Linked DNA regions of Drosophila melanogaster. The protein of the gene in region 1 interacts with the protein of each later gene in a pairwise test. Each region holds a gene or a part of one and is shown in the gene's direction. Other genes may lie near its edges.

Region 1 (3,989 bases):
CCGTGGAAGTTGTTCAAAAATATATGCGCAATCTGCCGAAATAGCCACCACTTCTATAGGCCTTCAGAAACGTTCGGTGTCCACCTTTTGACTCTTACACTCGATGAAGAAATTGAGATACCAGCGGAAAATAAACAAGACCGTTTTGTCTCCCGGAGGAACCCCAAATGAGGCAGCCAAACTTAATAAATTATATGCAAAACTGCCGCTGGGGAAATGGCAAACCAACAAAGTGTCCAAATGGCAGCGGGAAAGCCAACTTGCAGCAGGGGAAAACAAATGTTGGGCGTTCGAGGAACTCCGTTTTTGAATATTTATGAAAGGACAGTGTGATCCTCTGAGCTGGATACCAGCCGGATCCTGTAGGCCGCACATGCCGTTATGGCCAATTGCGGTCCTTGACTCCTTTGCAAATTTCCTAGGGCCAGAAACCTGATCATCAAGTTGGTAACCAACGCTAGGGTCATGCCAAACGTGTCTTTGCTAAAATGGAATGGTTAATCTGGTCAAGTCTTAAATACCAATGTATCACTATGAGGACTGCTATACCTTTATATTACATATTTTTCAAATAAAATTCAAGTTCTTATGGAACTTATTCAAACATTTGTTCTCAAGCTTTACTTTAGCCTGATCGCAAGCTATTCCAAGTTTGGAAAAAAATTTTGTGCACTCAGCCACTTGATCCTAACCACAGAGACCGACGGACAGTAAGAAAAATGGCGAGGTTGCAGTGCGATGATGGAAAGGATGTGGCGGTGGGGCAGGAAAAGGAGCTGATGGGTATGGATACTTTGAATGCGGGCAAGAGAGAGATGTTCATCGGAACGCATGTTCTTTGAAAATTGCCCATAATTATGCGAACGAACTTCAAACTGATTGTTTCTACCGGCAGCAGCGCAGTCCGAGAAACGAGAATCCAGAGCCGAGGATCGGAACCCATCTCCATCCCATAGCTCCATGGACCATGGACCACGCTGTCCGAAAAACGCGCGTCCGTTGCATGCAACGTGGCAGGGATGGGATGGAATGGGATGGGATGGGATCGAGATCGGGACATGGCCAAGGGTATGGCTGTGTGGAATAGCCCGCTTGGCTGCAGTGAAAGAGAATGACTGTAATTACGCATCACTTTTTCTTAATTTTCATGCTGTGCATCTTGCGGCCCTTCCTCCTCGCAAACGGAGCGGATTGGAGTGGTGGTGAACAACGAGGACGAGGGCCGGAAGGGGTCCTCCATCTTCTCGCTGGGAACAATTTAAGCACTGAACTTGACCCACAAGTCGAGTCTGCTGCTTTTTGTGCGGCAGAGTTTTAGAAAATTGCTCGTTTCGTTGCGTGCATATTTCCCAAAATGCGAGCGGCTTGAAATCATTTTGCGTGTTGTTTTGTCCGCTGTCTGTTTTCTGCTTGTTCCTCCAATGAGAAATCTAATTTAAAAGATACAAATTTTAAATTATGGGGTTTTCTTGGCTACCAAAAATGTTTCGATGTTTTTTCTTCGCTTTACCTTCCTCTTCTTCACATATGATTGCTTCTACGTGCCGAAGACTCGCATTTTGGCATTTTGGATGCGATGGCAGATACGCAATTTCGTTGCGGAAATGCCGAATGTCAAGAGTGGTTGCATAACAGCTTCAAACACAGAAAGGCTAGGAATAATAAGGGTCTCATGACAGAGGGGTATTTTTTACACACAGTATTTATTGGTAACCAGATTCAAATTGAAAACATTCGCGCGCCTTTTTTGCACCCACTCGCGGTATCGATATATCGGTTTGCACACATCACTACTGTGCTAAGGTAAACAACATATAAAATATACATTATATCGAGGTTTGAAAATTCCTTTACTTATTTTGTTACACAATGAAGATTATTCAGTATTTATTTGATTTATTTTAAGTTCTACGTTATGATCTTTGTTCTACCAGTAATAAAATACATTTTACATCGTAATTACGGCAGAAGAACTTAGTACCTTTTCCAGCACTGCAGCCAGAGTTGGTTTCTTAATGGAGTCCGATAGGTTCAATAACACATCCATACATCGATAACAATTTTATTTTTTGTTTTGCTAATGTGATTTACAAAATAGTTGTTTTAATTGAGAATTGTCGGCAGATTATGGAGTTTGATTTGTAAATAGCATGATTTTGATGTAACTTCTGACATGGACACCGCCGGAGACATGGATCACCTGGCCAGTGTGTCCTTCGGCGACTTTGAGACAAAATCCCCAGAGGGCGACGTATCCTGCTATCAGAACTTTCGGGCACAGACGGAACATGTTTCGCTAGACATTTCTCTCGGGCAGAAGTCAGACACTCTATTTGCCGCCGACCAAACGCCCACGCCTACGCGACTCATCAAGAACTGCGACGAGGTGGGTCTCTTCGAGGACCTGCAGCACGTAAATCCATTTGACATTGGATTCCAGCAAGCAGCGGAGCGAAATGTCAGCGGCACTCCGAGTCGCCCAGAGGCTCGACCCAATGACGGTGAGTCCCTGCACACGCCCCAGGTGTATCCCGTCGAGGCCCCCACCGTGGTATCAGTTCCGTCTGAAAATCAGGTCCCACAAAGTGTCAGCTGCGGCGATATGGATGTGGACCAGCTTCTGGCCACGACAGTTACCTCGCCTTCCAAAGCCAGTCAAGATGGTCCGCCGCCGCTGCAGTTGATCCAGCCCCAGGTCCTAACATGGGTGCTGCCTGCGCAGTCAGTTCCCATTTCCATCGCTACAGTTGATTGTAACAGAAACAGGGTGAAGCCGACTGGTGCCATTCATCCCTTCATACTGCCGAAACCCACTGCGAAAGAATTAAACAAGACCAGTAAAAGACCCGAGCCTATTTTGGTCAGTTGCAACCCACCTAATAACGAGCCCAGTAGCGCCAGTCTGACGCCCACCTCACAGCTGCCCATCAAGGAGCGATTGAAGGCCATTATCCACAGCAATAATAACAGACGAAGTTTCTCCACACCGCCCAAGGCTGCGAAAGCAAAGGATCGCAGTCGGGACGAGGATTGTATGGAGCGACGAAGAGCAGCAGCCTCTCGTTACCGTAACAAGATGCGAAACGAGCATAAGGACCTCATCAAACAGAACGCCCAGCTGCAGCAGGAGAATCAAGAACTGCACGAAAGAATTTCCAGATTAGAAAAGGAACTGCAGCAGCACAGGAGTCACAGCAGCTTAGCTGGCGGTAAGCTTTAATAAACCATTCCTGAAGTTAAGTTAATTTATTTTCGTTTATAGTGGTGGCCGACCAGCTGCGGATTCCACCATCCAGTATACACTTGCTCATCAATGTGCCCAACGTGTTAGTGCCTTCGTCCGCCAGCAACGCAAGCGCGGCCAAGAAATAACCAATATGCCTTGTTTATTTATTTTCTAGTGCCATGTACATAATCCTAGCCTTGTAGTTTATTCGTACAAAAAAGCCTCAGTTAAGTTAAATTCCTTCTGTACTCCAATGTTTTGTCTGTGGTTATGATTTCCGTAAACTCTCTCTGTATCTCAAAAATGGAATTCTCGATATCCACCAGCTGGGGACTAAATTGCACAGATGATGTTGCTGGAGTTCGCAGCTGTTCCATGGTCATCTGTTCGGAAGAAAGTAGACTTAGGAGATCACAGAATACAATCTAAAATCTTTTATCACATACATCACGCAAGTTTTTCTGCAGCTGATCACGCTGATAGCAAAGTTTCTGGATTTTGTCGTAATACTTCTGTGCCAGTGGAGCACCCTCCGTATCCGAGTAGTAGCGCTGGGCAAGGAGCTCCATCTCCTGGTTACGAATTTCATCTTCGGCCAGCTGCATTTCTTGGTTGTGACGCCGACGCTCACGCTCAATACTGTGCATCAGCAGGTCCATGTCCTTCTCCATCTCCAGAATTTTGCGTCGCTGCTCAGACTCCTGTAACTTAGTGATGACCTCGCTCTTGCGCCGACGCACCTCCATTTGGTAGGTGAGCAGCA
Region 2 (3,801 bases), on another chromosome or scaffold:
TTGTAGGATTTTCTTCATTTTATTATATTAATAAGCATTAAGTAGATTTGTCTGATTCATTATAATTGACTCGCTCGTTTGCTGTGCTCTAGAATTGTGAAAGTATACTCAGCCTCGCGGCAAGTGGATTCAGGCATCTTGACCCGCATCGATGCGGATCTAATCGACGGGTCGGAGGAGCAGCACCGCTGTATCGTGGATATCTGGACAAAGGTCTGGGTGAGGAAGGATGAGCACGAAATCACCTTTAAGTGCCGCAACCAGCCGGTGGTCCAGGCCCGACACACGCGATCCGTGGAGTGGGCCGAGAAGAAGACGCACAAGAAGCACAGCCATCGCTTTGACAAGGTGGACCACCTCTTCTACAAGTTCCAGGTGCGATTTGGCCGTCGCTACGTAAGCACCGCCGAGCGCCAGATGCGCCTGCGCATTTTCCGTCAGAACCTGAAGACTATCGAGGAGCTAAACGCCAACGAGATGGGCAGCGCCAAGTACGGCATCACGGAGTTTGCTGATATGACCAGCTCGGAATACAAGGAACGCACGGGACTCTGGCAGCGTGATGAGGCAAAGGCCACTGGCGGATCGGCGGCTGTCGTACCGGCTTACCATGGTGAACTGCCGAAGGAGTTTGACTGGAGGCAGAAGGATGCTGTCACCCAGGTGAAGAATCAGGGATCCTGCGGTTCATGCTGGGCCTTCAGTGTGACCGGCAACATCGAAGGCCTGTACGCAGTGAAAACGGGCGAATTGAAAGAGTTCTCCGAACAGGAGCTGCTGGACTGTGATACCACGGATAGTGCCTGCAACGGCGGCCTCATGGACAATGCTTACAAGTAAGTTACGAGGGAATGAACATTACGATGTAGATACTTATGTAATAATTCCTCCGCAGGGCCATTAAGGATATTGGCGGCCTAGAGTACGAGGCTGAGTACCCATACAAGGCCAAAAAGAATCAGTGCCACTTCAACAGGACTTTGTCCCACGTTCAGGTTGCCGGCTTCGTGGATCTGCCGAAGGGAAATGAGACCGCCATGCAGGAGTGGCTTCTCGCCAATGGTCCCATTTCGATCGGTAAGTCGATGCAGAAAATTAACCCCAAAGCCCACTTAACCAGATCATTTCTCTAGGCATCAATGCGAATGCTATGCAGTTCTATCGCGGCGGAGTTTCCCATCCGTGGAAGGCCCTGTGCTCCAAGAAAAACCTCGACCACGGTGTTCTAGTTGTGGGGTATGGCGTCTCCGACTATCCCAATTTCCACAAGACCTTGCCCTACTGGATTGTGAAGAACTCGTGGGGTCCGCGCTGGGGAGAGCAGGGCTATTATCGCGTTTATCGTGGTGACAACACTTGCGGCGTCAGCGAAATGGCCACTTCGGCTGTGCTGGCCTAGACTTGCTTTGAGTCCAATTATATACAAGCATACGACTATATCTAGGTTAATAATTTAGCCAGTAACTTTGTGTACAATTAATTCTGTTTCCATGTTCTTCAACCGTCACGATAAGGAGTCGTTGAGTTTCAAAGCTTCGCCTATATAGTATAATCATTTCAGACATCTGTAATCTCACGAAAAAGTCTGCATCCACATATTCCGCTTTAATTGAAAATAACAATAAATTGTACAAGAATTAAAACCTGGTTGGGTTTATTATTGAATCCATGACAGCTCTGGCCGCAGCAACAGTTGGTCAAGATTGATGGTTGGTTGGATCAAGAAAAATGTTGAATTTATGTGAGATGTATTCAAATTATTCGATTAAAATGGTTTGATTAAATATGGGTGCCAGAGTATTATTGGCTGTTAAGAAATATTTATAACTGCTTCAATTACTGGAACATTTGACCCAGTGATTTTGATGATTGATTTTCAAACACTTTGTCAGTGTGTAGAAGTGCAATATGTTAATTAGATTTAGACCAGGGCCGTCGCACCGTGGGAAGCCATAGAAAATGAGTGTTTCTGGTGCAGAACCAGCCAGCTCAGTAGCAGCTTGAAGCGCATCGCGGGCGGTAGCGGAGCAATGGCCATGGACGACTACGATGATGACAGTAAGTGAACACAGACAAAAGGATGCAGATACAAAATTGCGTAAAAATCATTACCCAGTGAGCAGCGTGGGCGTGACCACGGCCCGAATCGAGAACCAGCACCAACAGCACCCCCACCAGCAGGGTCAGCATGGACACCACCAACAGGGCCAGGGTCAAAGCCAGTACAGCGCAGGGGCGGTCAAAGTGGGCGGATGGCGATACGAGGACGCCAGTCGCTACATCGGCGAGTGGAACCAGCGTGGCCAAAAGCACGGCATCGGGCATCTGCAGTTCGCCGATGGCACCCGCTACGATGGGCAGTTCCAGGAGGGTCTTAGTCAAGGAGTGGGCTGCCTCTGGTTCGCGGATGGAGCAAAGTCAGTTTCAATAATATTAGTGATGTAAACCTAAACGAAATATTGTAGCACTTGAAAACTATTCTTGTAGCCACTACTCGGGGAGTAAGAGGAAATGCTAGTATATATATTCTTGATCAGAAATGGTTTAGCTATAATTTACCTAGGGTTTGCATCCAGTGAAGAAAATTGTATATGATGATTCATTTTGCACATTTTTAAGACAGATACGAAGGCGAGTTTCATCAGGGCTGGTTTCATGGTAATGGGATCTTCTGGAGAGCCGATGGAATGAAGTACGAGGGCGAGTTTCGAGGCGGCAAGATCTGGGGCCTGGGATTGCTGACGTTCCAGGACTTCACGCACGGCTTTCCCAGAAACGAGGGATTCTTTCAAGACTGCCGCTTTATGAGACGACGTCGATGTCCCGAGGTGGTGCAGCGTGCACAAAAGTGCGCTCTTATGGCCCGTTCCCAGTGCGAACACCCATACTGAACAGACACTTCAGATTGGTTACCAGTTGGTATTGATAAACACGTACAGTTTAAAAATACAAATTTTAGTAACCGACTGTAAGAGTCTCAAGTCATAAAACAGAAAAAGGTGCCTTTAAGAAAAGAAATAAGCATTTCTTTCTTAACATCTTAAACTTTAATACATTTGCGCATAAACGTTCGTAAATGTATCTAAGTAATATAAAATGCATACAATTTCGCGTTTACTTTATAATTTTGCTTTTTCCAAATTCTTTATCAAAAATTCTTCAACGCACCCTAATAAAAACAACAAGAAAATTATGAAGAATTTGTGCGTGTGCTTATTGGATTATAATATTAACAAGAACGGAGTTGTTTCTCTGCTAATTCGGACTAGGCGCACCGACCAGGTACCACGCATTCCTGGCCTTCACCGCTGTGTTCCGCACCAGACGCTTGGGATCATCCAAGGCGGCGGCCAGGGCCAGAGTAACATCGACTTTGTGGGGCAACAGGACGAAGGTAGGATACTTTGTCACATCGTAGAGCAGCTGCAGCGCCGCAATTCGCACTTGCTATAAGAAAGAAAATGAGTTTAAGTTTTGTGTTCGACATTTTCCTTTACAAGTTAAGAAACCTCCTCAATTAACTATCAAATCTTTATAATAATATGTGCATGTTTAACTTACCATGGTATGCTGAGCCTTGTATTTCGACAGCTCCAGACAGCTGGGTATGAGGTGGGCCAAATGCCCTTGGAAATACGTGTCCTGCTGCGCCACAAACTTTTCACAGATGCCCAATGCAATGCACAGCGACTGCGCCTCGTTGTGCTCCTCCAAGCTCTTGAAAAGCAGCGGACCGAGCTGCTCAATGTTTAGCTTAATAACCGCCTGTGGCGTGGCTTTCAGTACGTAGACAAAAGCCTT
Region 3 (4,992 bases), on another chromosome or scaffold:
TAAATAAAATAGGCTATATTGGCTATATAGGAAATATATATGGTGTTAACTGTTCCGAAATTTAGTTTACCCCTAAGCTTTTTAAATACTGGGTATAGAAATGAAAAAGCACACAAGAAAAACTGAGCCAAAGTCGGTTTTTCATTTTCGCCTGGTTTTCACTTTGCTCGTCGGTCGTATAAAAATAATTAAATTTTTGCCGCACTTTGTGGCATTTGTTTTGCTTTTTGTTTTCTGTTTTTCTTTTTTTCCAGCGCCACAGTTACAGTGGCCTGGTTTTATATTGCGGCTGACACTGGCCACTATCTATGAGTTAGTTTGGCTCCTAAATTTCACACATAAGTACTTTACACACGAATTTAAATCGGATTTTATCTTTTGCTTTATGGCTACGGTTACATTGTTCATCCCTTTTTTTAATCTTTATTATCTTACTATTGGTTTCCGTCTGGTAGCTAGTACGTCAGACTATATCTTTTTATAGAACATGTCTGAATATAAGTATTCACAAAATGGGGAAGCGTTACTATAACATGAATTAGTATAGACTACTAATCTGCACTATGCAACGTTATTTCGATTAATTCAGGGCTTTTATTTACAAAGTTTATATTTCCAGCTAATTCATTTGTACCTAATTATTATTATTTTTTTGACTTTTGCTCATATTTTAAGCTGTCCTTTTTGCACTACACCTAATAATAGAGAGCTCTTACTGCTGCCCCCTTCGTTTTTTGAAGGCTATCCTTCCTTACAGGGAATTAGCTCCGTAAAAGATTACCGAAAAGCCGAAGTCACGTTGTGTGCGTTTTGTAGGTTTCTGCAAATTGAATTTACCTCCTACATTCGACCCTGCAGCAGACGTAAGTAATTGCTGCAAATGATTGTCAAAAATCAATTAGTTGGTGTGCTGGCTATATATATATTATAGTACAATACCTTACAACATATTTCGCTGGAAATGATAGCCTTTGTGCAAGTGCAATCGAGTAATTGGCGCACAATTCCAGCGATGATATCATTGCCATTGTGCGCCCATTAATGTGCATTAAATCCAATAAAATGGCGTACACATCTGACTCGCTTTTCGGCTGTTTCTATGTATTTATTTATTGTGCTGAACTTTAACTTGATTTGCCTGCTAGTCATTGCCGATCGGATATGGCCATGCCAGCACACTTGGTTGGACATTTTCGTAAATTCGATTCTAGAAATCAAATTACTGCGAAATGGATGCCAGCATTGGTGAAATTCATGCTCGACATGGGCAGGCGCTTAGGGAATTTAGTATTAATTTATAGGCCCATGTACATCACGCATGTGTCACGTTTTAACCTTGACTGATCGCATTTGGTAAATATTTAGTATTCCTGTTTAATCTCCGGCGGACACAGCGATTTGGCTCACGCCCCAACGCCTGATAACCGTGTTACCTCTGGAAAAAATCCACATCACCATTCAATTTTTATCTAAAACCAGTAGCAGCCCGTTTGAGTCAGCGAGCTAAGCGTATTATCGTGGAAATTTACCCTTTTTCTTTTTTAAAGTTGTAAAATCCATTCCAAGGGATATGCATTTTTATATACAGCATCGCGCCAGGCAATAAAGCCACCGACGCGACACGTCCGCGTACAAAGAAAGTAATTTACTATCTGGCAGATCTTGGGCTGGCCAGAGATACACACCATCACACACCGAATGGGGGGTGTGCACATATGTGCGCTTATCTATCCAGATCCGACATGCCCCTGGCAATTTAGGCGATAAAGCTTTACACAAAGCCTCTGCCCACACTCTTACAAGATTTGCGTGAATTACGATCGGCCAATGTGACGATGATGCTGACTTGGATAAGATCTCCGGAGATTTCTAACGCAGCTTGCGGCGGAAAATTAGTTCAGTGCTCGGCGGTGATTTGGATCAAACACTTGTGTGTGCTCTCATCCAAATCGAATTGGAATTGTCCTGAATCCGAAACTCAAGGATCTCGAGAGCGTGTGCGTTATATATCGTCTTAAAAGAGACTTGTTAATATCAAACTATACTTTTAGAAGTGCTTTGCCCGACTTCAATTTCTGATTGCAATTAAAACAATTTTGTATAGCTTTTGATAAAGTACACATTTACATTAATAAGAGCTATTGTGATAGAATCCGTTGACCTTGAATACGTCTGCGACACTTGCGTTCTAAAGATTTAAAAAAATTTCATTTTATTAATAATTTTTTTTTATTTCTCTGTAAAGAAAGCGAGTTTTGATTTTATTTAACATTCAACTATTTTTTAATTACCTTGCGATTGAGAAGCTAGAAACTTTCGAGTGATTATCTTTAAAAAAAGCCCTTTAAGTCGGAAGTGGCCTTCTATTCGTAAAAACGAACCATACTAAACGCAAAGTCGAATTTAATTCACAGTGATTGTGCTCGTGTTAAACTAATGCAAAAGTAATCAAAGCCGGACACATTAAAGTGACGCGGCTGGAAGTCCATAAAAATAAACTACATAAAAGCAACTTGCGGTGCCGGAAATAATGTCAACCACTGCCGATCCCGTGGCGCTGGGGGTAAACTCCCCCGTGGAGGATGTAGTGGCCAAAACCACCACAACGGTGGCCAATGCGATTGCGAAGACAGTGGCCGTAATTAGCAGCACGGTCTCAACTAGCTCCACAACTGGCGCCACTTCCACCATTTCAACGAGTAGTAGCACACCCACTACCTCGACCACTTTCGCCTACACTCCCACGCCCACTCCCACTCAATCAGCATCCCCATCCCTGGAGGATGGTGAGGAGAAACTCAGCGTGAAGGATTTAAGCCAGGCCCTGCAGCATTTCGGTATTGTTGATTACTTGGTCTTCATCGCCATGTTGGCGGTCTGCGCCGTTATCGGCTTCTATTTCGGCTTTATCGAAAAGAAGCAAAAGAAACAGAAGCTGGCCGGCAAGGACGGCGGTGGGGCGGCGGGCGTCGAGGAGAGGCGTGGCTCGGAGGCGCTGGACTACCTGGTGGGCGGACGGCAAATGAAAGTGTTTCCGGTCGCGCTGTCACTTGTGGCCAGGTGAGTTACAGCTTCGGCTGGGGTATATATATGTATATGCAAATGGTAAATTGGCCCGGAGAATTTAATCCTGGCTGGCCAACGGGATGTGCACGGGAAACAATTTGAATACATTTGGCAGGGTTTCAAAAAGAAAATACGGATCTAACTATATTTTGTTAATTTAAATTTAAAAAAATGAGTTCAGCTCCAGGAGAAAAGAAGCTGATCAAAATAAGGATACTTTTTTGCCATTATTTTTCGCTGTGCAGACCTGCCTAATTACTTTTGACACGGCCGCAGAGAAGGTTGAGCATCCTAAATGAAAGTGTGACAGGAAGGAAGCTTGCAAATTTATTGAGCGATCCCGCTTTAAGCCGGCATAATCCGCAAAAATTGAATGCTATGCATTCGCTTGAATGCGGCTAATATTTGCACAAATTATCGTAATGGGCTAAGCCAAGCCCAGGCAGATCAATCAAAATACTTTCAGTCAGTTCGCCTTATTCCATGCCATTGGCCAAACGTGCGTATACGTAATCTAGGCAAAATAGATAATCTGGCCCAGCCCAGCATTGTCTGGCGAATTGTTTGGCAAGGGCAAACAGTGAAGCATTTTATTTAAAAGTTTCCGACTCCGGACAGGGCATTGCGTAAACAATATTCATTGTCAGGGTCAATGGATGATGAGTGCCTTGGTGTTATGTTGGTTGGTTGGATGCCTTTGGTTTGTGCTGATATTGAAATGGCTTGCGGAACTTTGCGAGTAAATATATCTGGCATATAAATACAACTTAGCAGCTCACTGTGTCTAAGCCGGATTGAAGTTATTTAAACTTGTGCTCGGCCGCAAACTCAAATAATTTGCCCAAATTACTTTTTCTTTTGCTGTTCGGACGGCCAAGTGACCTTGGTCCTGCGGAGTGGGGTGCCTTGTATTTGACACATTTTGGTCAAGCACCTTTCGAAGGGTGCGGTCCCTTTGTCTTAGCCGTGTGCTCGACGCATTAATGACCAGGCCGACAGGTCCTGTTCCCCGAAATCCTGGCCGTGCTCTTGGTCATTTGCCTTGCCCAATGACAATTGTTTCGTGAGCCTTTTATTGTTATGGCATTCTATTTGTTGTCGTTTGCTTTTTGCAACAAATTCAGCCAACGTGCCTTGAATTACAATTACATGGCATAATTTTTTTTCTTTCTATAAAACGCCCTTTGTTCCTTGCTGATTTTTTCAATTTTTTGTAAAACAAATTGTTTTGTTGTGTGTGTGTCTGCATACTTTAACGTCGCTTGTTATCAACTTTTAATGGCATTTTTCTCTCGGCCGTCAACTTTCTGTACCGATGGTGGCAATTCATTTTGTTTTGCGGCCAAAATTGAAATGATGATTGTTATGGACATTAATCATTAAAATCAGATTACCAAATGCAGGGCAAGGAAAAAGTTTTCTCCGCCAAATGCGACTAGACATCATTTGTTTCGGATTGGATTAAATTCATAGCAGCAGCACACATGCTTAATATATAATACCAAAATATTATCTTTACCATTCATAGCAAACAAACTTTTAAGATTCAATATGGTGCCATAATGCCCTTAACCTTCGCCAATCGATTACGTTAAATTTATTTTACAAAAGTTGGCCTACCTTCGTTATAACTTTGACCAACGACTAAGTGACCATAACTTAATTGAATTAAAAAATTTTGTTCAAGTTTGCTTTGCGGGATGGCAAAGATGAAAAAAAAAAACTTTGGCGGGGCGAAAATAGATCTTGATCAATCGACTGGCAATTAGCTGAACTTTAAGCTTAAGACATAATTAGCGTGAACTAATTGTTGGTATTTCACTTTTAGCTTCGTGTCTGGAATCTCGCTTCTGGGAACATCAACGGAAATCTATGTATATGGCACGCAGTACGCCTTCATTCTGGTGACCCTGGCCATTTCGGGAG

Evidence for each region. Proteins that work in one complex are often made in the same cells at the same time.
Region 2: the proteins of Atf-2 (region 1) and rtp interact in a two-hybrid assay, tested with the Drosophila melanogaster proteins (one large-scale study listed by BioGRID).
Region 3: the proteins of Atf-2 (region 1) and kumpel interact in a two-hybrid assay, tested with the Drosophila melanogaster proteins (one large-scale study listed by BioGRID).

What each region holds. Positions count from the first base shown.
Region 1 is NT_033778.4:24,868,037-24,872,025, forward strand, and holds Atf-2 (activating transcription factor-2), read left to right. Parts: upstream 1-2,071; 5' UTR 2,072-2,173; coding exon 2,174-3,209; intron 3,210-3,262; coding exon 3,263-3,372; 3' UTR 3,373-3,453; downstream 3,454-3,989. Other genes in the region: CG16896 (uncharacterized protein), read right to left, coding at 3,454-3,609, 3,673-3,989.
Region 2 is NT_033777.3:5,235,489-5,239,289, reverse strand, and holds rtp (retinophilin), read left to right. Parts: upstream 1-1,974; 5' UTR 1,975-2,030; coding exon 2,031-2,058; intron 2,059-2,116; coding exon 2,117-2,417; intron 2,418-2,623; coding exon 2,624-2,891; 3' UTR 2,892-3,198; downstream 3,199-3,801. Other genes in the region: CtsF (cathepsin F), read left to right, coding at 93-836, 896-1,077, 1,134-1,399; Mms19, read right to left, coding at 3,256-3,447, 3,562-3,801. UniProt on the Drosophila melanogaster protein: Plays a role in promoting axonal degeneration following neuronal injury by toxic insult or trauma.
Region 3 is NT_033777.3:25,905,133-25,910,124, forward strand, and holds the start of kumpel (kin of rumpel), read left to right. Parts: upstream 1-1,889; 5' UTR 1,890-1,997; intron 1,998-2,414; 5' UTR 2,415-2,530; coding exon 2,531-3,060; intron 3,061-4,894; coding exon 4,895-4,992.